Linked DNA regions of Kluyveromyces lactis. The protein of the gene in region 1 interacts with the protein of each later gene in a pairwise test. Links are inferred from orthologs where the notes say so. Each region holds a gene or a part of one and is shown in the gene's direction. Other genes may lie near its edges.

Region 1 (6,684 bases):
CACAGAGGTCGCAGCGCTACCCAACAGAGGCCGAGTGTAAGGATTTAGTACGATACACTACGAGAAAATAAGGGTAGTATGTGTTAACGACGCAAACGAACAGAGGAGAGAGGAGACTACTACTTCCTGGATTACTTCCTGATGGAGTTACCGGATTATCGAGAGAAAGAGGGAGAGATAAACACGAGATACCCTCAATGTTGCTTTAAGGGTATTACGGTGGGTACAGAAGACGTAAGTAATGGTTGGATTTGTCGTATGGTTTGGTGTTTCGCAGTAATAGCTGCACGCTTGCAGAGCAGTCACTTATTAATGATTAGCTGAAGGTCTAGCTGCTCTATACAGTGCTGGAAAAGTATATAAACTGGCTCAATGGATTGGAATGATGAGTGAGTGTTACCTAATTCGTTGTCGTTACCGTATCATGTCAATTGTTGATCGCTCACAGAATAGATCAAACATCTAAGTCAAGACAGTCTGCCTACAATGCCTTCTGAATACTCTTCACCTCCAGTTTACTCCACTTCAAATGGGTTTAAATACTCTCATCATCCATACGGTGCACAATACTCGCGTCCAGATGGTCCACTTTTACTACAGGATAACCATTTGATAGAATCTCTAGCTAGATTCGATAGGGAAAGAATTCCCGAAAGAGTTGTCCATGCCAAAGGTGGCGGATGTCATATCGAATTTGAACTCACTGATTCGTTATCTGACATCACATATGCAGCACCATACCAATCTCCCGGTTACAAGTGTCCTGGTATCATAAGATGCAGTACCGTTGGCGGTGAATCAGGGGCTCCAGATACAGCCAGAGATCCAAGAGGTTTCAGTTTCAAGTTTTACACGAAATGGGGGAACCATGACTGGGTGTTCAACAATACACCGGTGTTCTTCATCAGAGATGCAAACAAGTTCCCTCATTTTATTCACACTCAAAAGAGATCCCCAAGGAATCATTTGGGACAGGCTTCTGATACTTCCATGTATTGGGATTATTTGACTCAAAATATCGAGTCCATCCATCAAATCACGTATATGTTCGGTGATAGAGGCACTCCAGCTTCTTGGTCTGACATGAGTGCATATTCCGGTCACACTTATAAGTTTATCAATGCTGAAGGTAAGTTGACTTACGTGCAAATTCATGTGTTACCAGAGAATGGATTCAAGACTCTTTCATTGGAAGAAGCCAATAAGTTAGCTGGTGAAAATCCTGATTATAATAACCAATTGTTGTTCGAAAAGCTAGAAGCCGGTGAACGTCCAAAATTTAATTGCTATGTTCAGACGATGACCCCTGAGCAAGCAGAAAATTTCAGGTATTCCATTAACGATTTGACCAAGATTTGGCCACATAAGGAATTCCCATTGCGCAAGTTCGGTACCATTACCCTAACCCATAACGTCGATAACTATTTCGAAGAAATCGAGCAACTTGCTTTCTCTCCATCAAACACCTGTATTCCAGGTATCGAGCCATCCAACGATTCTGTCTTGCAATCCAGATTATTCTCGTACCCAGACACTCAACGTCACAGACTTGGTACCAACTTTATGCAGTTACCAGTCAATAGACCCGTGAATATGGGTAGAGAAGCTTGTCCATTTGCAGGTGCGAATTTCCAAAGAGATGGGCCAATGTGTATGTTCAACTTCAAGGACCAACCAAACTATATCGCTTCTTCCGGTAAAAACCTTGTTCAGTTCAACACATTGGATGACAACAATGCCAAGTCAACGCACGAAAGATTTACTGGTGTTGTATTAGAAGAGGATGTTGTCGCTGAAATAAAGAGACAAGAAGAAAACCGTGTAGAACATGAACGTGTTGTTAACGGTAAGATCAACGAATATTATATTGTCAATGGTGCATCTCCAGTCGATTTGGAACAACCAAGAGCTCTATACGAAAAGGTGTACAACGACAAGGATAAGAAGACATTCGTCAAAAACGTTGTTGCACATGCTTCTAAGATCTCCAATCCGGAAATTAAGACTCGTGTGTCTCAATACTTCGGTCTTTTGAATGAAGATTTGGGTAAACAGATCGCTGAAGGCCTTGAAATCCAATGGGAGCCAGTTTCTTTCGAAACATATGCCCGGAGAATCAGTATCGCCAGTGCTTTCTAAGACGATATTAGGAAATTGTTCAAAGTGTATGTCAACAACTGTTTCCATAATTTGATGAGATGCTCTGCGAGTTTTCTTAACGATTGAAGACATAATATTTATTAACTCTATTTAGAAAAGGATATATTTCTCATTTATGTAAGGAAAAATTAATGTACATCGTACACTCTTATGATATGAAACGTACTGACTATAATTAATGTCACTTAGCCATCGCTTCAAATGTTTACACAGATGTGTCAGCATCTTTTGTACCTGCGCTTCTGCATAATTTAAGCTTTTTCGTTGGTTCCTTTAATATCGCATCGCATACTAAAGTGAAAAATTGGAAAATGTTGAACTTAGCTTGTTCCAAGCAAATCATTAAGAGGAAAAGACAACTTTGGAAAGGGCAGTACAAACCAATAGTTGCTGCGTGGACCGTTCATTCATTTATAGGGACCAGTTGTTGAATTTAAGAAGCTATTTCTTAAAACTAAGTGTTCTTCCAGGCCACCAAACGGGTATTTTACCACGTTGAATTTTTGTGTTTTTCCTGTTATTGAAGAGAAACAGATTTTGATTCTGGTTCATTTGATCTGCCATGTCCAGCAGTGATCCGAGTCTCTCTTTCATCAGAAGGCATCATTTCAAGGACTCTCTTGCACTTTTAATCGTGTTTTTGAGCTTCAATCATTTTGCATCATTGATCCTATTGGTTTCCTTCAGCATAGTTACCAGATCGAGGAACTTTCTTTCAGAGTGTTTTATCAGATTCTTTCTACCCAAGTCTCATTACAACGGATTTGTCAATGATGATGATTATCAGATCAAACCTATCCAGGCGGTAGCAGTGGCACCCATCAATAATGTATTGTCGGCCAAGACGAGAAAGAAATCGGTGATGGCGAGCAAACAGCAGGCTTCTGCTAGTCCTACCAATTCTACAGTTAACGCAGTCCCCACAAATAACGTGCTGGGAGTTAATGGTGAAACTACGAAGCCAAGATTGAGAAAATCTAAGAAGAAACTGCTATTCTTTTTGATTCAAGAGGCAATTTTGGCATTTATACTGAAGTATTACGGTGATAAATATTTCACTGAACCCATAGAGAATCTTGCTATGTCTATAGTAGCTTCTTCTTTGGTCAATGATCCCAAGGATGCTCTAAGTGTTGCCACAACTAGTTCCATCATATATGCTCTCTCGACGCAATGGATACAGAAGTTGTTATTCCTATTCGACTATGAGAAAGCAGTATTTGCATTCCCATCCAAACCTACCATCTCACGTTGGACATTATTGATAGACAAGTACCCCTCGTTGACTGGGAGGCTACCATCCATCTTTGAATTTCTCACATTTTCGAGCAGATACATCCGATATGCATCGTATTTGGCGTCATTCCATGTGGTGGTTGCTCAAATCGAACAAAATTTAATAGTACAATCTTATGAACGTAAAAATAACGAATCCAACAGTAACGATCAAATAAATCAGGGACCCAGCAACGCATCTCCTACAACACCGCTGTCCTCTTCCACACAGACTAAAGAGGCTCCTATTCCGCAATCATCAAATATGGCACATAGTTCCAGCGCTTCATCCTCTTTTTCCCTTCCAGGTACCAACTTGAACAATACTTCGAATCCTCAGGAACCTGCACCAATTTATTCGTCTTTAGTTAAAGATTCTGTGGTGAATGATATCAGTATTACCTCTCCATCTGCTTCTAATAATCAAACTTGGGTCCCCAATATCACAACCGCATTTTCAACAGAGTCGAACTTAGATCATCAGAATGATCTATCTAACCAAGTGTACAAATTGGAATTGAACCTTGAATCTCAGGAGAATTGTCCCAATCTTTCTACCATTTCAACGGTTAATTTACAAAATTTCGTGAGACAACTTTTCCGTTGGAAGAATCATCACATCATCCCACCAATATGGGCGATTTTCACTGCCACTCAAACGTTAATTTCAGAGAAGCATAACATCCAGGCTTCCAACGATAATGTGACACCATTGACTACGACTGTTGCAGTGGATGATGATAAGATTACTCCTACTGAAAGTGATTCTGTGGCTCAAAGTGTGAAATCAAACTTGTCCCCAGTAAATTCAAACCCAAGCAAAGGTGTGTTCACGAGTAAAGCTATCTCGGACTCGATGACATTGATTGCACCAGCGATGGACGACTATCACAAATTAAACCTTGTTTCCACCGAAACCAGACATGATTATAAAGTTTGTATTACATTCATTGGAGCCAATTCCATTACATTCAAGATAGATTCTCTTTTCGAAGGTGAGTTGATCATTCTCGTTAACGGTGTCATTTGGTCTCAAGTTGGATCTGCAATCGTTCCTAGTATACCGGGACAAGAGTACACCATAGTGAGTGGCCTTGTACCATTATGCTCTTATGACATCCAATTTGTCAACAGGTTGAACGAACTGGAGGACTATTTAATTGCAGACTTAATGGTCAGAACCATTGGTAAAAATGGTGACCAAGAGGCGTTAGACTTAAGTTTCCCTTCATATTACCATAGAAAGTTCCTATCTCCTATCCTAACTTTAAAACATTCCATCTTAACCACCAATGCAAACCTTGCAGATGAAAGGGCCAAAGTGAAGAAGACCAGGAAAGAAGTTACCAAGAAGGTTAATACGATGAAACAGGATATCGAGACATTCAAAACGAAACTCGAATTCAATGTCACCCAGGATGAGAAAAGTGCATCAAAAGTAGAGAATTTGAAGATGGCATTGAAACAAGGTGAATTTCAGACTACGCAATTGGAAGAGAAGTTGAAAGAGTTAACTCAAAAAGAGACAGAACTAGAAGAAGTGTACCTTGTTGAGAAGGATAACCATTTTCAAAGAACTTTAGAATGTAGTAAGACAGAGGATCAATGGAAGTTGAAGTTAAAGGAAGCCGAATCTCAATTGAGCAAATTGAAGCAAGAGTTACAACAATTGCAAGTTAAGAAAAGCAAAAGTGTGAACAAACATGCAAAGTTGCAAAAAGAAGTGAACCAAATCAACGATGATTTCGATAAATATACCTCGACATTCCTAGAGAAAAGGAACAGGGAACGTGTTGAAAGAAATCAGTTAAGATCACAAGAGGCAACTGAATATGAATTGAGAATCAAAGGTCTAGAGCAAGATATCAGCAGACTAGAAGGCGAGGCGAGCCAACTCCATCAAATTCTACAGAACACTGCACCATACTGAGTAGAGAGTCATCCTCTCACCCCATCTCTGTAGTTCATGTAGACGCGTTCATAGGTATATATAAATACGTATTAACGTCAAACAGAAATAATGTATGTATGTCCATTCATGATCGTTAAAGCCAGCTACACAAGTGATCCATTCATGTTTCACGTTTTAAGATCCCCTATGTATCATCTTGATAAGTAAATCCTATCACATTGGTAGTTACTAGATTAATTTTTCTAATTTGTCTCAACAGACCCGGTACTAATGTCTTGAGGTTCTACCTTTCACACATGATTAACATTGAAAACTGTCAATGCCCTTCCAATGATCAGCAGATATTGATAAGTCCCCAATTTCGCCTTTCTTAACGGTTTCTCTAATACACCTGCGTAAATCTCTTAATGTCACTTTTATTTCTTGGATGTCTTGACTTTCTTTACATGATGATGTTTGTTCGGTAACTGAATGTGATCACTTGAGATCCGCCATAACTTATCTTTTATGTAGATAGACGCTAACTTTTCATCATCTAGGGAATTCACGATATGTTTATGGTTTCTAGCAACATAGAGGTTATTCTTATAAAAGGACTGTAATGGAATCATAACCATGTTGACTGACGGAACAAACACCGCTCGCATTTTTATTGTGATTTTGTCATTCATTTTAATGTTTAGGATACCTTCTCCCTCAACAGAAATTTCTTTCATTCCTGCTGCAAGCAATTTAGTTTTGGATTCATCTTTAAAATCATACAGCAAATTTTTGTTAGGAACCAACGCTACTGGTATTCCTGAAGCTAGCATGATGCTTTTGTCTTCCTTGAGATAAAAGCTTTTATGGTCAATGTTGCCTAAGGAGAACTGGATCCTCTCCGGCTGAATTATTATCGTCTGAAGATGTGTTCTTCTTAATGTAATTTGTCTTACCTTTCTTCTCGATTACATCATATTTTTATTGTAGTTCTTACCTGACTTTTTGTGCCTATTAGTACCATTGGAATCCTTGTTCCAATTGGTTCTGGAATTTCTTGGGTTTTCTTCCCTTATCTTCTTCGCTTAGATTCGCACGTTTTGACTTTACAGAGTTTCTAGATTCAAGACTCACCAAACTCAGTGCTGATGGTATGTCTAGTTTATTGTTTTTAGACAGTTCTTGGTTTACCATATATGATCTATCTGCAATAGCTTCCACTGTCATTTCAGTTAAACACTGTAACAGTGAATCTATATCACGGTATTTCTCACGTACATGGAATTTGTGATACATCTTAGTACGTTCTAACCATAATGTTTGTAGGTTTGGTGAAGTCTTATCTTTTTGCAGGTGCC
Region 2 (6,630 bases), about 600 kb from region 1:
CGTCGTACTGTAACAGTTTGCCCAGTAAATATAAGCATTTGATCAACCCTGACGACAGATTTAGATTAGATTTCCTGGAGAACAACTGGTGTCTCCAGAACTGGTACGATCCAAACTATAAACCAGGGAGGACTTGTCTTGATGGTCATAGTACCAATGTTGTAACATGTCTACAATTTGAAAACAATTATATTATTACCGGAGCAGACGATAAGAAGATCAACGTGTATGACGCTGAGAATGATCTGTTCCTATTAGAATTAAACGGACATGAGGGCGGTGTGTGGGCACTGAAATTTGTGGACGGTAAGATTTTAGTTAGTGGTTCCACAGATAGAAGTGTGAGAATCTGGAACATCGAAACTGGTAAATGTACCCATGTTTTCAAAGGACACACATCGACGGTTAGATGTTTAGAAGTGGTTGAATATGGTGACAGCAAATACATTGTAACGGGGTCTAGAGACAATACCTTGCATGTGTGGAAACTTCCCCCCATGAAAGAGCTAGACAAGGGATCGCAGGAACCTATTTTCTACAGGACACCAGAGGAAAACCCATATTTTGTTGGGGTATTAAGAGGCCACATGTCTTCGGTAAGGACAGTGTCTGGTCATGGTAGAATTGTCATAAGTGGTTCATATGACCACAATTTGATGGTATGGGATATCATTAGTATGAAATTACTATATATTCTAACCGGTCACACCGACCGTGTGTACTCGACCATTTATGACTACAAGAGGAACAGGTGCATATCAGCAAGTATGGATACCACAGTGATGATCTGGGATCTCGAAAACATTGAAAATAATGGGACAACTACTACAATCAATGACGGTGCATCGATCAAAGTGGTTGGAAGCATGAAATGCCTTTATGGACATACAGCTTTAGTTGGTCTACTTTGCCTATCCAATAAATTTTTGGTTAGCGCTGCTGCAGACGGTTCGATACGCGGCTGGGATCCAAATGATTATTCAAGAAAGTTTTCGTTCCATCATACAAACCTGGCTGCTATCACTTCATTCTCCATGAACGATAACATTTTGGTTAGTGGATCGGAACGACAATTCAATGTATATAATTTAAGGACCGGTAAGCTGATACACAGGAAGCTACTCACAGATTCGGAACAAGTGTGGGGTATCAAATTAAATAACAGAAAATTAGTCGCTGCGATCGAGTCAGTGGGACACAGTTACGTAGAAATCTTGGATTTTGCTGCTCGGAATGGTGACAAGACTATCAGAACCCGGACTAGAACAAGAGTCGACCATCAAATATATCGAACGTCACTTTGGTCTTCCACTCTTTAACATTAACTATCAATTTAACTTGCATTACCACATCTGGTATCTCGCCGTATGGAAATATTCTACCATCAAATAAACTCTGTAATACCAATCCTCTGTATCTTTGTTCTCTTCTCTTCTCTTCAATGCCAGCAGACATAAAAAAGTTGTATGATTAATTTATCTACGGCATCACCTATCCCTAAGACATATATAGGAGTTTCAATACTATTTCTACGTGTTACAAACTTTTCAGCCACCCCAGTACTGGTGGATACAGTCGACTACTATACCAGACATATACAGTTCTCAACATTTACCTATCTATGTCTTCTTATCAAGATAGGGTCATCCCTAGGTGTGGAAAATTATGCCAAGGAATTAATCGGGTGTGTTTTGCGATGAGGAAAAAAGTAAGTTGCACATTGAAAAAAATGTCAAATTTACACAATATAAGTACCTCTTTCGATTTTGTCCACCTATTCTTGCAACATTCCAGTGCCTACTCAAGCATAGCGTCTTGGATTGGACTGAATCTTTACCCACTTAAGCACTCCCAAAATACCCCTCCAACACACTGAAATGTCATTGCAGCAAGAAGGATCATCATCGGCGTCATCATCCTCATCGAGAATTAGCCAGAGGAACAAACAAGTTGGGTCTCAGTCTGAAGAAAATTTAACCGTGGAAGCCTTAAGAACACAAGAACTATCAGTAGGTCTGATTGTAAGTGCTTTTGTACTTGTGTTGAGCTGCGGTGTCATTTTCCTACTAGGAGTCAACATCGTGATCCAGTATCGTACCATAAACTGGGGTTATGTACCAAAAGCCATTTTGAAAATGACTTACATATTGTTAAGCGTGGTCTCCATCTTCTATATTAACAAATTCAACCTGTACTTCTTCAGATTGATGAACAACAGAGACACGTCCAATGCCTACGCTAGCATCCCACAACTGGAGCCTGTTCAGATGAAAACAGGCGTGTAAAGAACCAAATACTGACTTTTCCATCCATCTCAGACATCCTCATATAAATATACATATAAGTATATCATCATATGCAGTTAATTAAAGCAAAACCCCAGAAAAAAAAACCGATATAATACGAATTGAATTTCAAAAACCACAGAACGTGTGAACTGTATATCAGGGTGTCAGCTTCATACCGATCTTGTCTTCTGTACATCCTTGGTGCAACTAGCACCTCCGTCCTCTTTATGGATGGACGGATTATAACGGAAACTTCCCAATTAAGTTACATAATGAAACACCAAGTTACCCGGATATGTTCGAACGCGTCAATGCAATATTTAGAAAATGAAAATAAGAAAGGCGTTTATATCTATTTACATTAAGATTTTTCGTGTTAGTTGAAGGATGGGTAGCTTATTCGGTCAGCTTACCATCTACATCAGCTGCAACAAGCCGCTTATAATTGAAGTTGCAGTACAAGTTATCCTAATAAACTTGTGATCATTTTTTGTTTTATTTCGCTGATTTGTAGAGATATTCGTGTTCCAAGATGGGTAGACTTATCGGGTTAGAGCTGCATAATTTCAAGTCGTATAAGGATACGGTGCAAGTTGGTTTTGGTGAGTCTTACTTCACCAGCATCATTGGGCCCAATGGTTCTGGTAAATCGAATCTGATGGATGCCATTTCCTTTGTGTTAGGTGTGAGAAGTAATCAGTTAAGGTCATCGGCGCTTGTAGATTTGATATACAGGGGCAGAATTGAAAATGGCGATCCAGATAACGGCAATGCTAAGAGAATGCACCGATCCGACGCTGATTCGGAAGCTGGTCCAGAGAATGCCACATATTCGGAGGAAGAACCAAGAAGTGCATATGTCAGTTGCGTGTATCAAAAAGATGATCTTGATGAACCAACAAAATTCACAAGAACCATCAATACATCTGGTGATAGCGTTTACAAAATCAACGATAGAGCTGTGAGCTATAAAAAATATAACGAGGAATTAGAATCCGAAAACATCTTGGTCAAGGCGAAAAACTTTTTGGTTTTCCAAGGTGATGTCGAAAGAATCGCTTCTCAGGGACCAGAATCATTGACGCTATTATTGGAGCAGGTTTCTGGATCTATAAACTATAAGAATGATTATGAGAAATTGAAAGAAGAGCATAAGCTGGCTTTAGCTGAATTCACAGACGCTCATAATTCAAGGAAAAAAGTGCAAAACGATTTGAAAAGTTTTAAAGAAGGTGTCCAACGGGATGAGCAATATAGAACGAGTTTAGAAATTAGAGATCAGTTGAAACATAACTTTATTTTATGGGAACTATTCCATATCCTTAAAAGAAGGAAGAAACTGGTAGATTCTCTAACAGTTTCAAAAACTGAAACGACTGCGTTGAAGAACAAGCTTTCAGACGAAGAAAGAATACTGACCAAAATCAAATCCACAACGGCTAAACATGAACTGCAATTGAGTAAGTTGAAAGATACGCTCGTACAGTTAGAAAATGAAAAAACATCGTTACAGTCATCTTTACTACCTGTTGGAAGCGAGAGGTTAGCTACCATCAAGAGAATACATAACTTGGAAAAAAGAATATCCTCATTCAAGAAAGATATGGAAAGGCAACAAGCTTATGTCAAACAATTCGAAAATCAACTGAAGGTAGTTTCTAAAACAAAAAAGTCGTTTGAGAAAGAGTTAGAAAATATTCATGCCAATCTCAATAAATTCAATTTATCTGAAGAAGATTTAAAACAATATGAGCTATTGAAAGAGAAGTATTTAAGTTCTGGAGGCTCTCATATCGAGGAAAAGTTGGCTATCTTAAAAAACGACGAGTTTGAACTAAACGAAGAGAGTGAACTTATTAACAAAAGACTGAAAACAACCAGGGAACGCATAAGTGACGAATTACAGGTCGATGTCGATGCTTTAGAAGCAGATCTCAACGAGGTAACACAAAGGTTGAATGATAAAAACTCGATAGCAGCTGCTAAGTCTAAAGAATGGAAAGGTATTCAAACTAATCTTGAGTCCCTAAAGAATAAGGAATATGAACTGAATTTTAGCTTGAGAGACGTACTTCTGAAAATTGACGATCTTAACGCTGATCAAAGAGAGACCAAGAAGGAAAGAAAACTAAGAGAGAATGTTTCTATGCTTAAGAGATTATATCCCGGTGTGAAAGGATTAGTACACGATCTATGTCATCCGAAAAAAGAGAAGTATGCGATTGCAGTATCAACGATACTTGGTAAAAACTTTGATTCCATTATAGTCGACAGTATTGCTACCGCACACGAATGTATCACGTACCTTAAAAAGCAAAGAGCCGGTTCAGCGTCTTTCATACCTCTTGATACAATCGACGTCAATCCACCATCATTGCCGGTGTCGAACGTACAAGGCTGCCTTTTGACTATTAATGCTATCGAATACGAAGGCTACCTTGAGAAGGCAATGCAATATGTGTGCTCAGATTCTATTATTTGTGATAACCTAGACCTAGCTAAAGAATTAAAGTGGTCAAGAAATGTCAAGGCCAAACTAGTGACATTGAATGGTGCTTTAATACATAAAGCTGGACAAATGACTGGTGGTACGGCACAGAAAAACCAGAATAGATGGAATAAAGATGAATACCAAGGACTGATGGTATTGAAAGATCAAATTACCGAAGAATTGACAGCGCTATCAGACAAATTCAGAGCTGATAACATGAAATCCAGAGAGCTGGAGAATGAAATATCTTTGTTAAATAATGAGATTTCGAGTTTGAGAACTCAGATCACCCAACTTGAAAGAACTTTAAGTGGAAAAAATGTCGAAATCAAGCATAACGAGGATTTGATTACTACAGAATACGAACCTCAGCTTAAATCCTTCACTCAACGTATCGAAGAATTGAAGAGCAAATTAACTAAGTTGGAAAGTGAGAAAGATGTTTTACAAGAACAGATTTTTAGACCTTTCACCGATAAATATGGCTTCTCAATTAAAGACTATGAACAAGGTACTGGCGAAATTATGAGAAAGCACTCCAAGGAGCTTCAACAGTTCCAGAAACAGATTCTCACCATTGAGAACAAATTGGAATTCGAAAAGGACCGTTTGGGAGCTACTGCGGCACGTCATACAAAAGCCTTATCTGACATGGATAAATTGAAAGAGGCTCTGGGTTCATTAGAGAAACAAGAGGACATAATAACGGAAAAGATCAAGAATGCAGACTCAAAAATTTCACAAGAACAACAACTGGTAGCCATTCAACAAAAGGAGCTAGATGAAAAAGTGCACAATCTAATTTCATTTGATAGTAATATTGCAGAAATTCAATCGAGCATGCAAGCCGCAAGACGAAAAGTGGATGAAATCAAAGAAGATATTGAAACACTCGACCTTGAACAATTAGGTATACTGAAGAATTGTAAAGTCTCTAACATAGAGCTACCGCTACTGGATTCGTCGTTAGAAGATATTTCCATTGATGTTTTGGATTCTAACAATACAGGTATAATCTCTGATCTCGAGTATGATTTTACTTCTTTACCGGAGAAGTACAGGCTAAATGATGGCGAAGAAGTGAAAGAAGAGTTTGAATCGGAGATTAAAAAGGTGGAAGAAAAATTAGAAATTCTACAACCTAATTCTAAAGCTGTTCAAAGATACGATGAGACAAAACACAAATTAGATCAAGTATCGAATGAGAATGAGAGACTGAGGAATAAAGAAAGAAAAGCGAAAGAGAAATTTCTTGAAGTCAAAGCTAAACGTAAAGAGTTATTTGAAGCGTGTTTCAAACATGTTGATAAACACATTGATCAGATCTACAGGGCTTTGACCAAGAATCCACATGATAAGTCCGAACTAGCCGGTGGTAATGCTTCTTTAACAGTTGAAAATGAGGACGAACCATATTTAGGCGGAATTAAATACTTTGCGACCCCACCGTTGAAAAGGTTTAAGGATATGGAATATCTTTCTGGTGGTGAAAAAACCATGGCCGCCTTAGCTTTGTTGTTCACCATCAATTCATATCAACCCAGTCCTTTCTTTGTATTGGACGAAGTAGATGCCGCTTTAGACATCACTAATGTTGAAAGAATAGCACATTATATTAAGCGGAATGCTAATCCAAATGCCCAGTTCATCGTTATATCGTTGAAGAATGCTATGTTTGAAAAATCCCAATCACTAGTTGGTATATTCCGGGAACAAGAAGATAACTCTTCTAGAATGGTTAGTTTGAATCTCGAGAATTATGATGAAGATTGATGTAACATTATTTGCAATTTAATACACCTAAATCATAAGTACATACATAATAGATGGTACTACTTTAAACAAGGATCT
Region 3 (4,862 bases), about 290 kb from region 1:
ACAGATATACACACGGTACTCAGTACTTTTCCACCTGAATAACTGCATGAACGTACAGGTAATAATATAACAGGTATTATTCTGATTTACAAAGTAGGCTGGGCACGAGGGTCCTCCTTTGGTATATAAAGAAGGACGGACCCTCTGTAGTATCTCCTTCCTTCTCTGATGCTACCTTTTGTAATATGCTATTAGTACAGTCGGACAGTGCCCAAGAGATTAAAAAAAACACAAGATACGCCATAAGCTAAATAGATATGGATGCAACAGAGAAAACAGATATGCCGGAATTGACGGCTAGCATAACGGATCTAGAGAAGCAAGAGCTTCAGTATGAGGTCGAACTGGATGAAGCAGACGAAACCAGTGACAATACAAAACTCATCTTTTCCCAAGATAAAAAGAAGAAACAACCACGAAAACGCCCTTGGACTCCAATCACGTGGCACATAACAATGGCATTGTTGGTTATATACATCATTTCCCTTCTAGTGTTCATCAAGTTCGTGTATCCAACGATGTTTTTGGGTCCCGTTAAAGAAACTGTCAGTGCAGGTCACGTGACGCTCTTTGAGAATCTTGGAATGGCAACGCTAGATGATACAAGCATGAGCGGGTCTCTAATATGACGGAGAAACGGTCACATCTTTTGTTTTGAACGGAATTCTGTGTGCTAATTCTGATAGATACCCTTAGAAGCACAAACTACCTTATATCCGCACTTTTTAGCGCGGTGGAAACTTCGCATGTTAGGTTTAAATACTGTTATCGCCTTTCGTTTCAAAATGCTGCCAGCCAGATAGGAAACGAAAAAACAAAAAAAAGGTCGGCCTTTTAACTTTAAGCTTTTTTTGACATGTATAAATATAAAGTATATAACAATGTGTCAAATCTAGGTTTTGTTTGATGAGGTGGTTATTTGTTTGAAGGGATTAACGCTGGTGGTACAAGCACCATATAGCTGCAATATATAGTACGAGTTATGACGGTAACCATTGATGATAAGACGTTAGAAGAGCATTATTCGAAGTTCTTGAATCGTCACGTTGACAGAAGAGTTATTCTGCAATTCTGGGATGATTATTTGCCCAAGGATGTGAAACCGCATCCAAACCCATATGTTTTGGCAGCTGGTATGCCAAACGAGGGTTTGTTCCCTGTGGAATCTGTGCATGTCAATGTGGTTGAACGTCCGTTCCAGCATTTGGAGTACCCATTCAAAAGTGAAAAGATCCATGTCGGTGCTGCTGGTGAAATCGGTGTCAATGAAGCTGAATACGTGAAATCTAGGGTCGATGATGGTAGTATGGTTGATATTTGGAGGTACGATCCATCTCATGGTGATAACATTCCAATTGCCCAGGCACTACAATATTCTGACACGAAAGGGTTCCCGCAATTGATTGATTTCTCAAAGAAGTTGGTTAGTTACTTAAACAAGCCAGCTTACGACAATTGGGATGTTATGTTAGCAAATGGATCTTCTGATTCTTTATCTAAAGTTTTCACCACTTTAACAGATGAAGACGTTACCGTGTTAATGGAAGAATTTACTTTCACTCCGACTATCTCCAACGTCACTGCAAATGGTGGGATTCCGATTCCATTGAAAGTTGATATCACGGATGATGCTTCTCAGCAGGGTATTAACGTCGAGTATATGGACCAATTGCTTGAGAATTGGTCAACAGGTGAATATTCTCACTTATCTAAGCCTAGACTGTTATACACAATCGTCACAGGGCAAAATCCAACCGGTATGACACAATGCAAAGAGAAGAGACAGAAAATATACGATCTATGCGAAAAACATGACATTATAATTGTGGAAGATGATCCGTATGGTTACCTAAAGTTTTTACCCTTTGACAAGTCTGATCCATTAAAGAATCAATATAACGATGGCACTATCACTTTCGATAAATATTGTAAAGAAATATTAGCCCCCTCATATTTGACCATAGACACATCAGGGAGAGTCATTAGATTAGAAACTTTCTCCAAAGTCTTCGCCCCTGGGATGCGTCTTTCCTTCATTGTCGCCAATAAATTTATCCTAGACAAGTTATTGAAATATGCAGACATTTCTGTTAGATCGCCATGTGGTCTTGCCCAAGCTATGACCATTAATATAATAGACAAATGGGCAGAAAATTTCAATGGAGACAAGGTCAGAGCTTGGCTATCATGGGTCATGAAAGTTGCTGGTGAGTATACACATAGAAGAAATGTGCTTTTCCAAGCATTGGAAGCTACACCAGCTTATAAAGAAGAATTATTTGAATTGATTGAACCCTCTGCCGGTATGTTCATTAGTATCAAGATCAATTTTGATAAGTTCGGAGAAATCTCGGATAAATTAAAGGCCATGAATTTCTTAAACTACAAGTTGTTGGAAGAAGGTTGCATTGTAATCTTGGGTTACAGAATGGCAGTTGACAAGAAATTTTCATATGACAGGTCCAACTTTTTAAGAATTACATTTGCTATGGCTCCAGATGAAGAGCATTTACAAACAGCTGCTGAAAGGCTAGGTAAAGGTGTTGAGAGATTCTTCAAAGAGTATCACAACTGAAGGGGTCTGTTTTACAGCTCTTTCTGGTAATTGCTAATTTTCAACCTCACGTTGCACCATAAAAACAAAAGTTAGATACTTATATATGAATGCATAATTACAACGTGAAACAATAAACCTGATAGGGCCGTGAAATATGTCCCAACTGCTTTCTTTTGAGCATGAAATTGTAAAATTGCATGACATAATTTTGCATGTCAGTAGTGTAATTTGCAAGATAAATCTTTAGAGTATGTAAAAGTTGAATAAAAAATAACAAGAATGGCTAAAAGTACAGATGAAAACAGTACATGACATGAGTAGACACAGAGACATCTACCACATCTTACACGCAACACACTAACTAGAAATGGAATTACTACCGGAGGGTCAAAAGAACACGGTCACCGTTGCATACGAAGATCAACAACGTATCAATGAGTTCTCCAAGTTGATCATGAGAAAAGATGCTATCGAACAAGATTTGACGCAACAAAGAACAGAGAAAGAGTACCTCGACGACGTATCGTTGGAAATTGAATTGATAGACGAGGATGAGAAGGTACAATATAAGATCGGAGACGTCTTCGTATTTCTAAAACAGAAAGAAGTAGTTGAAAAGTTAGAATCCGATGCTGAAAACATCGACAGCAATATAGAAAAGCTAGAGAGCGATGAGGCGGAATTGGACTCAAGAATAAAAGAGCTAAAGAGTATATTGTATGCCAAATTCGGTGACAACATCAATTTGGAACGTTGAGCCCATAAATATACATTGCTGAAGTGCTTGATAGAATTGAAAAAATATCCTTAAACCGAGTAATATATGTTTGCGTATAAAATCTACATAGAAAATAATAGTAAAGACCGACACAACGTTGATTCAGTCCATAATGCAATCAAACAGCATGTTCTTTCAGCCCACCTAACGCATGAACCTCCTGGTCTTCTTCTATTTCAAGCCCCCAATTAAAATGTTGGTTCATTTCCTTGAATTTAGCGACAAACTCTTCTGGCAAATCCAAACTAAACCCATTGAATAATGTATATTCATGCGTTATAGTCCCATCAAGTTCATGTGCCACATTCACTAAATCATTGTAGTATTGGAAGCTGTCAGGATATATAACCATAAGTGAAGATACTGTATTTGACGATGACGATGATGATGTTAGTAAAGTTGAGAATTAAAGGGAAAAAAAAGGGTTAAGAAAATCCGTCCTTAAACATACACGAACTGGCCAACGCCGTTCCAATAAAAATAGGTGCAAATCTCATATCTGCGGCTAATGCTTTGTTATTACTGTTGCTACTCTATTCTTTGTTCTTGCTAACAATCTCCCTTATCCTTCATATATCATGATTCATTATTCTTTTATATGGATATCATATCTCATAGTGAGTATTTGGCAGAAGGAAAAACTGGTAATCAAAAAAAAACAACGTGATCATAAATTAATAAACGTTACCCGGTTTGAATCACGTGTTAATCACGTTCTTGATAGCCCGCCCTGCGCCTTTCGTGTCGGCCCCCGTACGGCTTCCGTTTTTTTAGGTTCGTTTCGTTATTTTTCAACTGATTTCATTCAATAGTTTCAATTTTTGTCGATTCCGAAGGTTTCCCTGTTCCCCACGTCAAGACAGTTGCAACTTTTTTGTGATGAGCCGTCGCCTTTATAGATCACACCAGCGAAACAGCTTTTCACAAAGATACTTCTGTTCACTGTGTTATCCCATTTCGATAATTAATAGTAATGACTCTGGCAGTTTGGAAAGCTCAATAGATTGATAAAAAAAAAACTGGTTCTTCAACTTAAAAGTTGCGCAAAGGAACGATGAAATATAGATCAGTTAAATAAGTGGTCTTCTCTGGAATACTACAGTATTTTTTCGAATTACAATCCGTTCAATTATATAATTGTAGTTTATATATGGTCCGTACCGTAGTGAATCACCAAACCCTACCGCATCATGCTGGTATTTGAGTCCTGTAGATCAATTTTCTTGCTATTTAATTGATCAAACCGTCTAATAGTTGTATTTATTTGGGATCGTAATCTTTTTTTTCCATTCCAATTGACATTAATATAAAAGGAATTCACTAGGATATTTTATATTTCAAGAAATATATCAAGTGAAACCACAGAGAAAGGGTTCAGATAACGTATAAGTAAGAGGTTAGAGGATTATCTTATTTATCTTGTTTATTTATATCCGCCCTAATCAAAGATGTTGAGATTCAATTCTACCCGTTCCTTTAGCTCTTCTGCTCTTTTGAAAACCGTTACTAAGAAGCACGACTTGGTCG
Region 4 (6,843 bases), about 160 kb from region 1:
ATGCATGAAAAAATATCGCGTTTTCTCGATTTCTCACTGCTTCTATGCAATTTGAGGTTCATCTCTATAATTGTATTTACTATTCTTGATTTGGAATCATGCTGGCATTTATCATTATGTATCCCAAACTCTATTTCTCTCTATTTCTCTCTCTCTCTATATATATAGTACGTGTTAGTGTGTTACTGTACCAACGTATGTTTATGAGTGGCCTTGCGGTGCGTCAATTGGAAAGGACTGCTGATATACCAGGTGACTGGTATACTTGTAAGATATAGACAGAGAATTCAATAGCAAACCTCTCTTTCCTGATGCATGATGAGTTGGAAAAAGCTGGTAGGCATTTGCTGATGGTGAACGATCATTTGTCTGAAGATTCAGTGGAACAGGGTGATATTTGCATGACTCAGGTTCCTACTATGTTCAGCGATGATGAGGATCAAGATGAGGAGCAGGAGACTGAGATTCCACCGGAGGAAGGTGATGATGATATTCTGATCTCTACTCAAGTCCAAGGTGCCATAGATGAACTGAACCACCAGGAGACTGTGGTGCACACCTTCCGCAATGTTCTGTCAAGATTTGCGCTGGAAACACAAGATCAAGCGGATATTCCACTGGTGTCTTCCAAAAAAGTGCCAGTCAAGAAAGTGATAAAATCCTCAAAGGTCAAGCAGCCGACAGCACGATTGCAGAAAAGAATCAAGAGTATTACCCAGTTCAATACAGATAATTGGGAATCAAATAGAGTGAAGGATAGGGCTCAGAAGATGATTTCGATTCTTTCGGGTAAATCTGCCAAGGTTAAAAAATTGGTGTCGAAATTGGACTCGGAGGCATCTGCAGATGCGGAAAGTTTACAGGATTCTCATCCGACACAATTTGCGCCCTTTAATGAATCAGAATGGCAACATATCGTTGGCCTCCTACGAGAAAAATTACCAAAAGTTTCTAGAAGCGAGCTAAACTCGGTACAGCAATACGTATACGGTGCTGATGAACAGCACAATCTTTGGAAAGCGTCTCAGTTATCCCCAGAAAAGCAGATATCTTCTCAGTGCTCAGATGGAGAGTCTGAGACTATTCTTCCAAGTTTAACGTTGGATAACAATGCGCCTGTGTATACGTTGTCTCAACTTGTCGAAGGAGAAAGCAGTAATAACCGGTGCTCAACGGAAGATGGATTGAGGTTCAAACCGATCTCGAACCCAAGCTCTGTCATCGAACAGGAACTACCAATTAGCATAGACGTGCCTTCATCTGAGACGGATGTACCGTCTCAGATAGCCGATTCATGCGATAGCGGGTCTATCATTAGCTTTGAAGAGCTGAGTTTCATGATTCAAGACAAGAACAAGGCAGACGTCGATTACGATATACCATGCTATTTACCACCAGATTCCAAGACTTTACCCACTGGTGAGAAAACGAAAAGGGAATATTCCAGGGCAAACATAAACGATCAACTGATAAACATATCACAAACGTCTTACGATGTAGTGTCCTCCATCGTATCTCCAATGAAGGCCCAAAGAACCGGGACTATTCAGGTGCCCGCAACGAGAACTACTACCTTTCAAGACCAACAACAACAGAATCAGCAACAAGCTTCAAAACCTGCTAATGTCGTCAAGATATATGTTGATAGCAATAGGGACTCTAATGACGTTTTCGCCAGTGTTAAGGGGGAGGTAGATACGCAAGAGCAAGAAAGTTTGTCTACTTTAACTACTTCTATGTTGCATGATGATAATAACGAAATTGTTATAGATAGCGAAGATGAAAGAGGTAGCTATTCCATTATGGAGGTTCATGATGCTCCTCAAACTCATCTTGGCCAGTTCCCCTCTCTACGGAAATCTCAATCTCAAAAATTGAAAACCCCAGTTTCAGCCACAGATTCTCTAGATTCACAACTTCAGCCTGCCCTACTCACAACACAAAATGCATCTCCGAACACCGCGAAGCTACGAAGGTCTTTCAAGGTGATCGGATTAAAACCTTGTAAGAACAAAGTTCAGATGTTGCAAGTATGGGAGACATTGGAATCCAAATTCCCGGGGTCCTCAGATGAGGATAGATCAATTCAACTCAAGCAATTCCTCACGGACCTTATAGTACAAAATCGTGATGAATCTGCATTATTAATGGAACAAATATACACTTTTGAGCCTATTCGTTACGAACAGTTGAAAGAATGGCTAGTATCCTTGAACTCATTCACTGAACTAATCGACGATAGTTTTATCAAAAATTGGGCAGATTTAAACGGGATTGTATTCAGAAATGATACTGAGAACCCCTTGTTGTCACAAAGCCAATCTCAATCTCAATCACGGTTGCTCTCACAATCATTATCCCAACTGCAGTCGCCATCATTGTCTCCATAGTATGTTAGCATCCATGTGTATAATTATCAGCATTTTTTTTTCAATAGAAGCCCAAATACATGGCGTCAAAGGAACATAATAGACTCTCAATGAATACATTGGTCTGACTGCCTATTCAAAACATATACCGAATGTGAGCAAGGCTCTATCAAAGCAAGACAAGGCGAGTCAATAGCTGCATTGTTTATTGAGAAATCCGGGTAACGTTATGCAGTCAAAACAGCTCATCAAAAATTGTCAGTTTCTTTCAGATCGAACGATTCTATAAACAAAACAAACAAAACATAATCGAAAAGGAAATTGGAATCTACGCTCAGTAATCTTTGAAGCATATAGCACTGAAGTCCTTAAACTTTAGCACTGTCCTTCGGTTTTTATTCAGAACGGCAACAATTGAGTGATTTCGGGCAATTTGGAGAAGTGCGCCCCAGAAGCGACAGTAAAATCCCAGGAAATATGTCAGGAAAGGGATCTTCGCAGTCTGATAAACGGTCCAGCCGAGATGAATTGAAGTTTAAATTGAACAGGTTGCAGGAACAACAAAAACATCAAGAAGCTCTTTCTCATGTTAATTCTGAGGACCCCAGTTTACCATTTTCCAATGTCTTGAGTAAGAGAGATAATAGGGCTTCGTTACCTGTTTTTGCAGGAAGCTCTGCTCATGCAGGTGTCATAAATGCCAATTCAGGCGAGGATGTGAACTTTGTTGTTGGTTTAAGCGAGAACTTACTCGTCGAATGCAGACGCTTACAAGCACAGAACGAACGTAAGTCCGCCAAATTATCCTCTTTGCAGGCCGACTATGAAAAGTTGAAAATAAATCTTGAGCGGTTAACAGTGAAGCATGAATCTATGACCAAAAATGAGGATTCTTTAAAGGACACTAATTGGCGACAAGAAATGAAATTGCAAAGTTTATCTAAGGAGTTCCAAGAGTTGACTGAAAACTTCAATAAAAATAAAAGTGAACTTGAAAGGCAGATTGAGCTTTCTAAGGATATGAAAACTGAACTGGAGGAAAGTTCTTTGGAACGTATGGGATTAAAGTCCGAATTGGCTTCTAGTAAAAAAGTTCATTCGAATGAAATTAAGGAGCTGAAAAGACATGTGGAAGAGTTGAACAATGAGAATGATCAGCTGCATAATAAAGTTAACATGTTGAGTGAGAAGGTCACTTCATTAACAAAAGAAATAGAAGAGAGGAAAGGCACCTCTGCACAGGGCAAAGACGATACTGCGATTGCTACATCAGAACAAAAACCATCACCTGCCGTAAAACTGATCGGAGGAGGTATGGAGGGTTCCGATGATAGTTCCTTGAAGAAACCGATTGATTCAAATCTAGAAAATCAGACCTTAAAAGCCAACTTAAATCATGCTAATCAGTTAATTGTAAGATTAAAGCAGAAGCTCAACAGAGTCAAGGCTGACAGCACCATGAACTCTCCATTACCTTCAAAGTCTCCCAGAGGTAAGAATAAAGGCGGTTTATCTTTTATAGGATCTGCTTCTACTCCTCAAAAGTCCAATACTTCCAGCTTCAATTACGAAGTTACAGATAATGAATCAGGTGACTGGAATGTAATACCATCGCCTGGCAAGTCAAGTAATGCTGATATCAGTGATATTGACGCTGAAAGTTTTGTTTCGGAAACTATGGACTATGTGAGAGACCCCATTTCGGAGGGCCCCTTTGAACATGATGAAGACTTTATTAATGAACTTGACTATGAAGATATAGAAAGATACGCAAAAACGCACAATTTCGCACTTGTCCCAATTACTGAACTAGATGAATTAAAAAAATCGAAAACTCCTAGCACAATCTCAGATGACACATTATCAAAGCATATTCTTTCCAGACTTTCTACGCTAGGGTATTTTGATACTTCTAGTTTAACAAATAATGAGAAAGTGGATATAGAAGAGATTTTTAAGCATCCCACTGAGGATTATCTAGTTTCGAATCTGAAGAGGCTCAACCTCACTGCTATCAAAGAAGAAGAGTACCAATCATTGAATGATCCATCGATGGAAACTTTGAAAAAATCATTAGAAAGTAAAGACTACACTGCGTTAAGTAAAAAGGACTATGAGAATTTGCTTCATGCTTCCGAAAGTCCGTCCCTGTCATATCTCGAGAGTAAGGCTCACAAGCTTCAAAAAACCATTATCGACATTGATGAGTATGAAAATTTGAGGAAACCGGATGTTGAGGCATTAACAAACCATGCCCAGTCCAGAGGACTTCAGGTATTGAAACAGTCACAATTGACTGATATAAAAGCTAAATTGGAAAGCCCGTCTGAAGAATATTTGCAGGCCAAAGCAGATGCAAAAGGATTAACTGTACTAACGAAGAGTAAATTGTCCCAACTCACTGAACCAAGTATCGAAGACGTCCAACAGTTAGCTACCACTCACGACCATATTTTAATATCTAACAAAGATTACCATGAGCTACTGAATCCTTCTATCGATAAAGTGGAAAAAATTGCTGCAAATCACAAACTCTCGGTAATACCTGATAAGGATCTAATTGATCTGAAATGCAAAGCTGAAAGTCCAGATATTAATAGGTTGAAAGAATGTGCTAAGTCAAAAGATCATGTTCTTCTTCCAAATGAGGAGCACACCAGACTAATGCATGGAAACACTCATCCTTCAATTGAAGCTATTCAATCATCGCTTTCTAGTGACGATATGGAGTCTTTATTGCTGTGGTTGGCGGAAAGAAAGTCCATAACACCTATACGCACCACTGAGTATCACAAATTAACAGAACTAGCTAATACTCCTCCACTGGATCATCTAAAGAAAGCTGCCAAAGCTTTAGATTACACCTTGCTCAGTCAAGCTGAAATAGAGAACCTAAGAAACTTAGCTCAAAATCCTCCCTTTGAACACCTGAAAGATAAACTACTAGCTCTCAATTATACTATTATCAAACAGGAGGACCTTCATAAGTTGAAGGAACAGCTAGAATCTCCAACTTTGAACTTTTTATCGGAAAAGGCAGCAGAGAAAAACTATGATATAATCCTAAAGACTGACCACTCAGAGCTTTTGAGAAAGTCATCAGACCCGACCATCCAAGAAATGCAGCACTTGGCAGCTGTAACTGGCCACTTGATTGTATCGCAGAGTGACTACGATTATTTGAATAAGACCGTAAATGAACCATCAAGAAACTTCATCATTGAAAAGGCAAAGGATATCGGTATGGTTACTATCGAACAGAAAGAGTATGAAAAGTTAGTTCATAAGGGCAGTGATAAAACAATGTTACTCGAATCTATTAAGAATTTTGGATTTGTTCCAGTCACTGCGCCAGATTTCAATTCCTTTAAACAAAAGTCAATCGACAATGTTGACATCGACCAATTAACTAACAGATTGGAAACATTGGGTTACGTTGCAGTTTCAAAAGAAGGATACTCAAAATTAATGGCTCCCGTTATAGATAAAGTAACTAAAGATGAAACTTTTAAACTCTGTGACAAATACAATCTAAAGCCTGTTGCTGCTGAAGCATACCAGAAATTACAGGAAAGCTCGAAAGTTGCACTACTTTCAGAGGATGAATTGATTAAGAAAGTCAAGGAACATGGTCATGTGGTCTTAGATAGTAAGTCTTACGAAGATTTGATAAACAAATCAAACAATCCACAACTAAAAGATTTATCCAGACACCTCTCAACCTATAAAATGGTTCCCGTACAGCTGAACGAATATGAAAATCTAATGGCTATGAAAGACTCTCCCTCATTGACGTTTTTGAAGGAGAAGGCTAAACTTCATCATCAAACTATGTTACCATTCGATGAACTGGAGGGCTTGAAATCGAAATTAGAGCACCCATCTAGAGAATATTTAGAAAACATGGCTGGAACTCTTGGACTCGCCCTGTTACCAATTGAATCTATTGAAGAGCTCAAGACCTCATATGAAAATCCTTCTATTGCACACTTATCAAATAGGGCAAGCAATATTGGCAAACGTTTGATCGATCAACAGAAATATGACAATTTGCAAAGAAAAACAAACGAACCTACGGTGAAAGAAGTGGAACAACTGGCTGCTAGAATTGAATGCAAGGTTCTACCAACTGTCGAGTACGAAGAGCTACAGCTCGCAATCAATAACCCTTCAATCAAAAGATCAAAGGAGGTTTGCGACATCAATGGGTATAGCGTAGTTCCCACGAAAAAGTTCAATGAACTTCAACTTAACTTGACTAGTCCATCTTTAGAATTCTTGCAAGAAAAAGCGCAGCAACACAAACAAGTTTTACTACCGATTGAAGAACATAATAAGTTACAAATGTCAGCAGTTACTGACGAGCAGGGTTTACAGAGAAGTGCGAGAAGTCTCGGACTTGTAGTTGTTCCGGAAGCTGATTATGATTCTTTGTCCAATCCTTCCCTGCACATCCTACAAAAGCAAATAACAG
Region 5 (5,844 bases), on another chromosome or scaffold:
ATGGGACATAGTAAGAGAAGTAGATCTAAGCATTTATTTCTCACGGAACGCGATGAATGTGTTAAGAGCCTGTCTGCGTACGTCCAAAACCTTAAAAGTAACATATAGGCATCCCTTGATATTGGGGACTCCCATTTCATCTCATCTTTCGCCTCCCCATTATTCACCGAGGAATTGTTCTCCGATACAGCATCTTCTTCGTCTTCATCTTCGTCATCGCTATCCTTTTCAAACCTTTCCTTGAAAAACTCCTCGGCCGTCTGTTCAGGTGGTTCTACCTCAGCAATGCTACCATAATCATCTGCAGCAGTTTTCTCCTGATCCAATACATTTAATACTTGTTCGATATTAGACATACCCCATGGCTTGAAGGAATCCTGGTTCCAGGTTTTGATCTCGATAGATTGTCCGCTCGATTTGCTCAAGAAAGTGTATTGTATCTTGTATGAAATCTCTATGAATAAGTTCAATAGTACAGTGCAGAGGTCATCGTATCCATGATAATATCCTAACATCCAAAATAGCTTCTCTAGGATATCATTCAAACGTTCCACAAGATCGTATCCAGAAACCTTTATCACTACACGAAGAACCATATATGCACGATGGAATAGACAATTGTCAAGTCTAACTGAGATTCCGTCAATTATGTAATTAACATTATCTTGAAACAAATTTAGCATTGCACCCTGGTAGAATTCATTGGCCAAATATTGAAGAATATTTCCCGAAATGAATCTTGTGTTCTCATCATCGCTTGCGAAACATTCAATGACATTATAGATGTAATCTAACATTTCATCTTTGAAATCTTTACCCATTAGAATAATCATTTGTTTCATAGCAAACAAATTCATAGTCAAATTGGTGCGCTGCAACTCGTTTAGTTCCGTTTGATTCGATAAAATTGATACCCGCTCATTTGCCATTTCTATAATGTCATATTGGCAGGAGATTGGGTCTGAATCATGCGCAAGAAAATCACTTATGTCAGTGTTTTTATACCCTGTTAATAAAGTTGAAGCTATCCAAAGAGCTTCGTTTGAGTTTTTTAAGACATCTGATTCTATTGAAAGAAACTCAATGATTTGTTCTTGTATTGAAGAGGCGCTCATCTTGGATCCTAGTTGCAGTAAAATATTTGTAACATTTTCGTACGCTGTAGATGATATTTTCGGAATTATGGAAACTTCAGAATTATTAAGAGATCCCGATGTTACCAAGTAGTTTACCTCTGAACTGGTAACCTTAATTAAATTAATGTTCTCTGTTTTGTCTAAACTCAACAAATGGGTTTTCAAAGAGTCATATATTCCATAAGCAACAGTTTTTGATATTTGATATTCCTCAAGCTGATCTGTATCCAAAATTCTTAATGCATTATTCACAATATTATATTGGTTGATTTCTTCGAAGTTTGTTTCGACCTGAATATTGTTATCTCTCATGAATGCTGCAATATCGTTCTTGAATCTTTCTAATGCAAAGACGTTATCCCTTGCTACTGTAAGAGCCGTCTTTAGTATAACTTCTCTGCACCCATAAAGTGAATTATGGCATTTATTAAGTAGTAGAACACAAGCTTCAAATAGTTCACCATTCAGTTTTTCATTATTCCTTTTAGTGAGCTTTGAAAAGGTGGGTTCAAGTGCGCGTTTCAATTGAATTGATGTGGCATTTAACCATTTGGTAGTTCTGTGCTTTCCTGGATTTTTTACTTCAACAGCAGTATTTCCTGTAGACGTTTTGATGAAAGTTTCCAAAGAAGAGTCACCATATACCATACACAATAGTTCTGACATAGTCGATAATACATCACTTGCCACTTTCACATGAGTAGTCAACCCTGGACGAGAGAGAATCTTAGCAAATGTAGAGACATTTCCGGGAACCACATTACTTAACATTTCTCCGTCATTTATTACTCTGTACAGTAATCTTAGTGTTTTTGAGCTCTCTAACTGGATTGACATATTGCTATTTTCTAATAATGTTAACAAAATGGTGATTGAGTGTGCAATTGCTGGGAGCATATTTGCATCCCATTCCTTGAAAGCTGCTGTGGAATACAAAACTCTTAAAAGTCTGATGGAAGCAATCTTGAATTCGTCTGGTTTATTGGGAAGGTTGACATTTTCTAGATCGGTAGATATTAGAAAGGTTGATAGGGAAAGAAGCTGCGAGAATGTGTTCCGATCCACTGTCGCCGGTAAACTCCACGAAACGTCTATTATTCTCGCCAAAATTTCGAATACTAATGTTGCAATTGGGTCCGGAAGTGATTTACACGTTTTCAACATTGCAGAGATAGGCACAAACACATAGTCTCCAAACCTCCCTGAAAGCGATTTGTGCTTAGTTATAAGGATATCTAAGTTTTGAATCAAATCTTGTAGTAACTGTTTTAACTGCGGATCCTGTAATATGAGTAGCTCATCTTTCCTGAAGGTAACTTGGGAGAGTCTCACACAGATTGGTTTTATCTTTCCAAAGGCTTCATCTTTAGTTCCTGCATGTTCTGACCGAACATGCTGACCTTGTGTAAACATAGTAGTATCTCAAGCGGCTTCTGATGATATATTTTTATGCTATGTCAAAAAGCTGTGACGGTAACTCGTTATGTTTAACATATATTTCGAGAATAAGGCAGATCATCGCGTAAAAGATGCATTTCATTGAGAAGGCTTAAGTATATCATTAAAATCACGTGATCGTTTTTTTTTCCATTCTTCCTTTGGCAGGTTCTCATCCCGATTGTTGATATTCCTAGGGATGAGATGACTACTGGCAACAGCTAATATGACGCCAAGAGGCGAACCTTCGTACAACCAGAAAACTTTACATTTTGCCTACTAGTTACCTGTCGGGTCTAAGAATAATCCATATGGAATATACATTACTTATCGAGGTAACAGAAAGTCTAGACGATTGTTATAAGTTTTTTAAGTCTGGCAAATTGACTTTTGAGCGGAAGACTGATTCTCGTATTGAACAGAGTTGGAACCATATTCCAATGCTAAGTTTACATTCTTGTAGTAACAAAGTTTCCATCGAATCCGAATGGTGTGGCCATGGTATTATACGGCTTTTCAAGAATGGCCACGCATCAGTTGGTACCTTTGATGATAAAGAACTCTACCGGGAATTAGGTGATGGAAGGATGCTAGCCATACTATTTATTCCAAACTACTTGACCATAAACAGACTATTGGGATGGTTTATTGGAGAAGAAACAACCAATCAAGTGACGCATTTACAATTAATAAAAATGAACAAGGAAAAAGGACGGTTTATGCTTTTGATGAAATTTAAGGAACAAAGCTTGGCGAAAGAGTTTCAGAAGCTCTTCGATGGGAAGAAGTTCAATGAAATTGATCCAGAAACATGTCATGTGGTAGCAATTAAGGAGCTTATATTTCATCAAGGAATGTTTAGTGAAGATAAAGATGCTCTCCCCTACATGTTAAAATATCCGTTTACTCAGAGTAGTTCAGAACAATCTGATGGTTTAATAGAACTACCTATGTGTCCTGTTTGCCTAGAAAAATTAGACAGCGAAGTTACTGGATTAGTCACAACCCCTTGTCAACATACGTTCCATTGTAAGTGCCTAGATCAATGGAAAAACGGTAATTGCCCTGTCTGCAGATACTCACAGTTAAAAGATGTTAATAATGAACCACTGCCGCGTTGTCTAGAATGCGGTGAAACGAACAATCTTTGGATCTGTCTAATTTGTGGACATCTTGGATGTGGTCGTTATAATTCTCAACATGCAATATGCCATTACGAACAATCGAACCATTGTTTTGCAATGGATTTGACAACAAAACGGGTATGGGATTATGCGGGGGATAATTACGTCCATCGGATTGTTCAAAATGAGATCGACGGAAAGTTGGTGGAGGTGGGTGAATCTCATGACGGGAGTAATACGAAAAGGAATAAAGAGTATCATTTGGAATACGTTCAAGTACTTTTGTCTCAGTTAGAATCTCAGCGTGAGTATTACGAGGGACAAATTTACAATATGCATGAAAGAGTGAAATCGCTCGAGTCTGATATGCAAGTCAGTAGACAAAAAGATGATCACAAACAGTTAAAGAAACTCGTTGAAGAAAGTATGCAAGAAATGAAAAATCGGCTTAAGGAAGAAATGCTGCTCAACTCCGGACTTCAACAAAACTTAGATCATTTAACTAAACAGATGGAAAAATTTAGCCTAGAGAAACAGAAACTACAGGATGAAAATCAAGAATTGCAGTCACAAATTCAAGACTTGATGTTCCATTTTGAATCCCAGGAAAAGTTTGCAGAGGATTCAGAGCTTCAAAATGCAACGTTAGTGCTTCAACCTCCTCCAGGTTCCGAAGCATCTTCCAGTGCTAAGAACAAGAAGAAAAAGAAGAAGAAGATTCCGAAAATACCCAAAATATGATAAGCAAATTACTACAATTAGGCCTTGTATGTGCAGCTTTCTAGATAGAATATTTAAAGTTCAATAATTGATTCTTGCATGTCAAAATCTCGACTTCCTACGCCATTTATACCGGCAATATTTCCACAATGAAACTGAGTCTTCCTTAGCCAACCAAAGAGTCTTTCTCTTCCAATCATGAAAAAGAAAGGAAAATTTTTTCCTCATCTAAAAGAAGTTCCGGATGCCAAAGAAAGGTTTTTTGATGAAAAGACTTAAGATGAAGATGTTTGAAGTTGGGAGGAAATAGGCAGGTTTGGTTTTGGCTTGAACTAGGTAATCTGCTTCGTTTGTGCTCCTGATTCGATTCACATACCCCCTCGTACTTCAGTTTTGTGAAGAAAAATAAGCAAACTGTTATAACAAACACATCATTTAAACACTTTTCAATACTGATAAGAAAATGGCAACCAATTCTATCAAGCTTTTGGCTCCCGATGTGCATCGTAACCTAGCCGAGTTAGTTGCTAAGAGGTTAGGTTTGAAGCTTACAAATTGTAAGTTGAAGAGGGATCCCAGCGGCGAAGTATCTTTTTCCATTGGTGAATCTGTTAGAGACCAAGATATCTTCATTGTTACACAGATCGGATCTGGTGATGTGAATGATCGTGTCCTTGAGCTATTAATAATGATTAATGCATCAAAGACCGCGTCTGCTAGAAGAATTACAGCTATTATTCCAAATTTCCCATACGCTAGACAGGATAGAAAGGATAAGTCTCGTGCTCCAATTACTGCTAAGTTGATGGCTGACATGCTGACCACTGCTGGTTGTGACCATGTCATCACCATGGACTTGCACGCTTCTCAAATACAAGGGTTCTTTGATGTTCCAGTAGATAACTTATATGCTGAGCCTTCAGTTGTAAGATATATTAAGGAAAATGTTAACTTCAAAGAAGCTATCATTATCTCCCCGGATGCTGGTGGTGCCAAACGTGCCGCTGGTTTGGCCGACCGTTTGGATTTGAACTTTGCCTTGATTCATAAGGAAAGAGCTCGCGCTAATGAAGTTTCAAGAATGGTCCTTGTTGGTGACGTCTCAGACAAGATTTGTATCATTGTTGATGATATGGCTGATACATGTGGTACTTTGGCTAAGGCTGCAGAAGTTCTGTTGGAAAACAAAGCCAAGTCCGTCATTGCTATCGTTACCCACGGCATTCTATCTGGCAAAGCTATTGAAAACATTAACCACTCAAAACTTGATAGAGTAGTTTGCACAAATACTGTTCCTTTCGAAGAAAAGATGCTACGTTGTCCAAAATTGGATGCAATTGATATCTCTTCAGTGCTTGCAGAAGCTATTCGTCGTTTGCACAACGGTGAAAGTATTTCATATTTGTTCAAGAACTACCCTCTCTGAT

Evidence for each region.
Region 2: the proteins of NNF2 (region 1) and SMC1 interact in binary tests that used the Saccharomyces cerevisiae proteins (3 or more experiments, as listed by UniProt). The link is inferred for Kluyveromyces lactis from reciprocal best matches to the Saccharomyces cerevisiae genes NNF2 and SMC1.
Region 3: the proteins of NNF2 (region 1) and GIM3 interact in a two-hybrid assay, tested with the Saccharomyces cerevisiae proteins (2 studies listed by BioGRID). The link is inferred for Kluyveromyces lactis from reciprocal best matches to the Saccharomyces cerevisiae genes NNF2 and GIM3.
Region 4: the proteins of NNF2 (region 1) and NUM1 interact in a two-hybrid assay, tested with the Saccharomyces cerevisiae proteins (2 studies listed by BioGRID). The link is inferred for Kluyveromyces lactis from reciprocal best matches to the Saccharomyces cerevisiae genes NNF2 and NUM1.
Region 5: the proteins of NNF2 (region 1) and ETP1 interact in a two-hybrid assay, tested with the Saccharomyces cerevisiae proteins (2 studies listed by BioGRID). The link is inferred for Kluyveromyces lactis from reciprocal best matches to the Saccharomyces cerevisiae genes NNF2 and ETP1.

Annotation. Positions count from the first base shown.
Region 1 is NC_006040.1:1,239,761-1,246,444, forward strand, and holds NNF2 (Nnf2p), read left to right. Parts: upstream 1-2,722; coding exon 2,723-5,365; downstream 5,366-6,684. Other genes in the region: CTT1 (catalase T), read left to right, coding at 487-2,139.
Region 2 is NC_006040.1:642,673-649,302, reverse strand, and holds SMC1 (cohesin subunit SMC1), read left to right. Parts: upstream 1-2,820; coding exon 2,821-6,552; downstream 6,553-6,630. Other genes in the region: SCF ubiquitin ligase complex subunit CDC4, read left to right, coding at 1-1,319; KLLA0_D07524g (uncharacterized protein), read left to right, coding at 1,878-2,285. UniProt on the Saccharomyces cerevisiae protein: Involved in chromosome cohesion during cell cycle and in DNA repair. Central component of cohesin complex. The cohesin complex is required for the cohesion of sister chromatids after DNA replication.
Region 3 is NC_006040.1:947,266-952,127, forward strand, and holds GIM3 (tubulin-binding prefolding complex subunit GIM3), read left to right. Parts: upstream 1-2,924; coding exon 2,925-3,314; downstream 3,315-4,862. Other genes in the region: KLLA0_D11088g (uncharacterized protein), read left to right, coding at 258-629; ARO9 (aromatic-amino-acid:2-oxoglutarate transaminase), read left to right, coding at 983-2,575; KLLA0_D11143g (uncharacterized protein), read right to left, coding at 3,454-3,698, 3,787-3,832; LPD1 (dihydrolipoyl dehydrogenase), read left to right, coding at 4,784-4,862. UniProt on the Saccharomyces cerevisiae protein: Binds specifically to cytosolic chaperonin (c-CPN) and transfers target proteins to it. Binds to nascent polypeptide chain and promotes folding in an environment in which there are many competing pathways for nonnative proteins.
Region 4 is NC_006040.1:1,397,067-1,403,909, forward strand, and holds the start of NUM1 (Num1p), read left to right. Parts: upstream 1-2,846; coding exon 2,847-6,843. Other genes in the region: SLX4 (Slx4p), read left to right, coding at 312-2,390. UniProt on the Saccharomyces cerevisiae protein: Controls nuclear migration. NUM1 specifically controls the interaction of the bud neck cytoskeleton with the pre-divisional G2 nucleus. Functions in dynein-anchoring.
Region 5 is NC_006042.1:2,387,820-2,393,663, reverse strand, and holds ETP1 (Etp1p), read left to right. Parts: upstream 1-2,884; coding exon 2,885-4,438; downstream 4,439-5,844. Other genes in the region: TTI1 (Tti1p), read right to left, coding at 1-2,549; ribose phosphate diphosphokinase subunit PRS3, read left to right, coding at 4,881-5,843.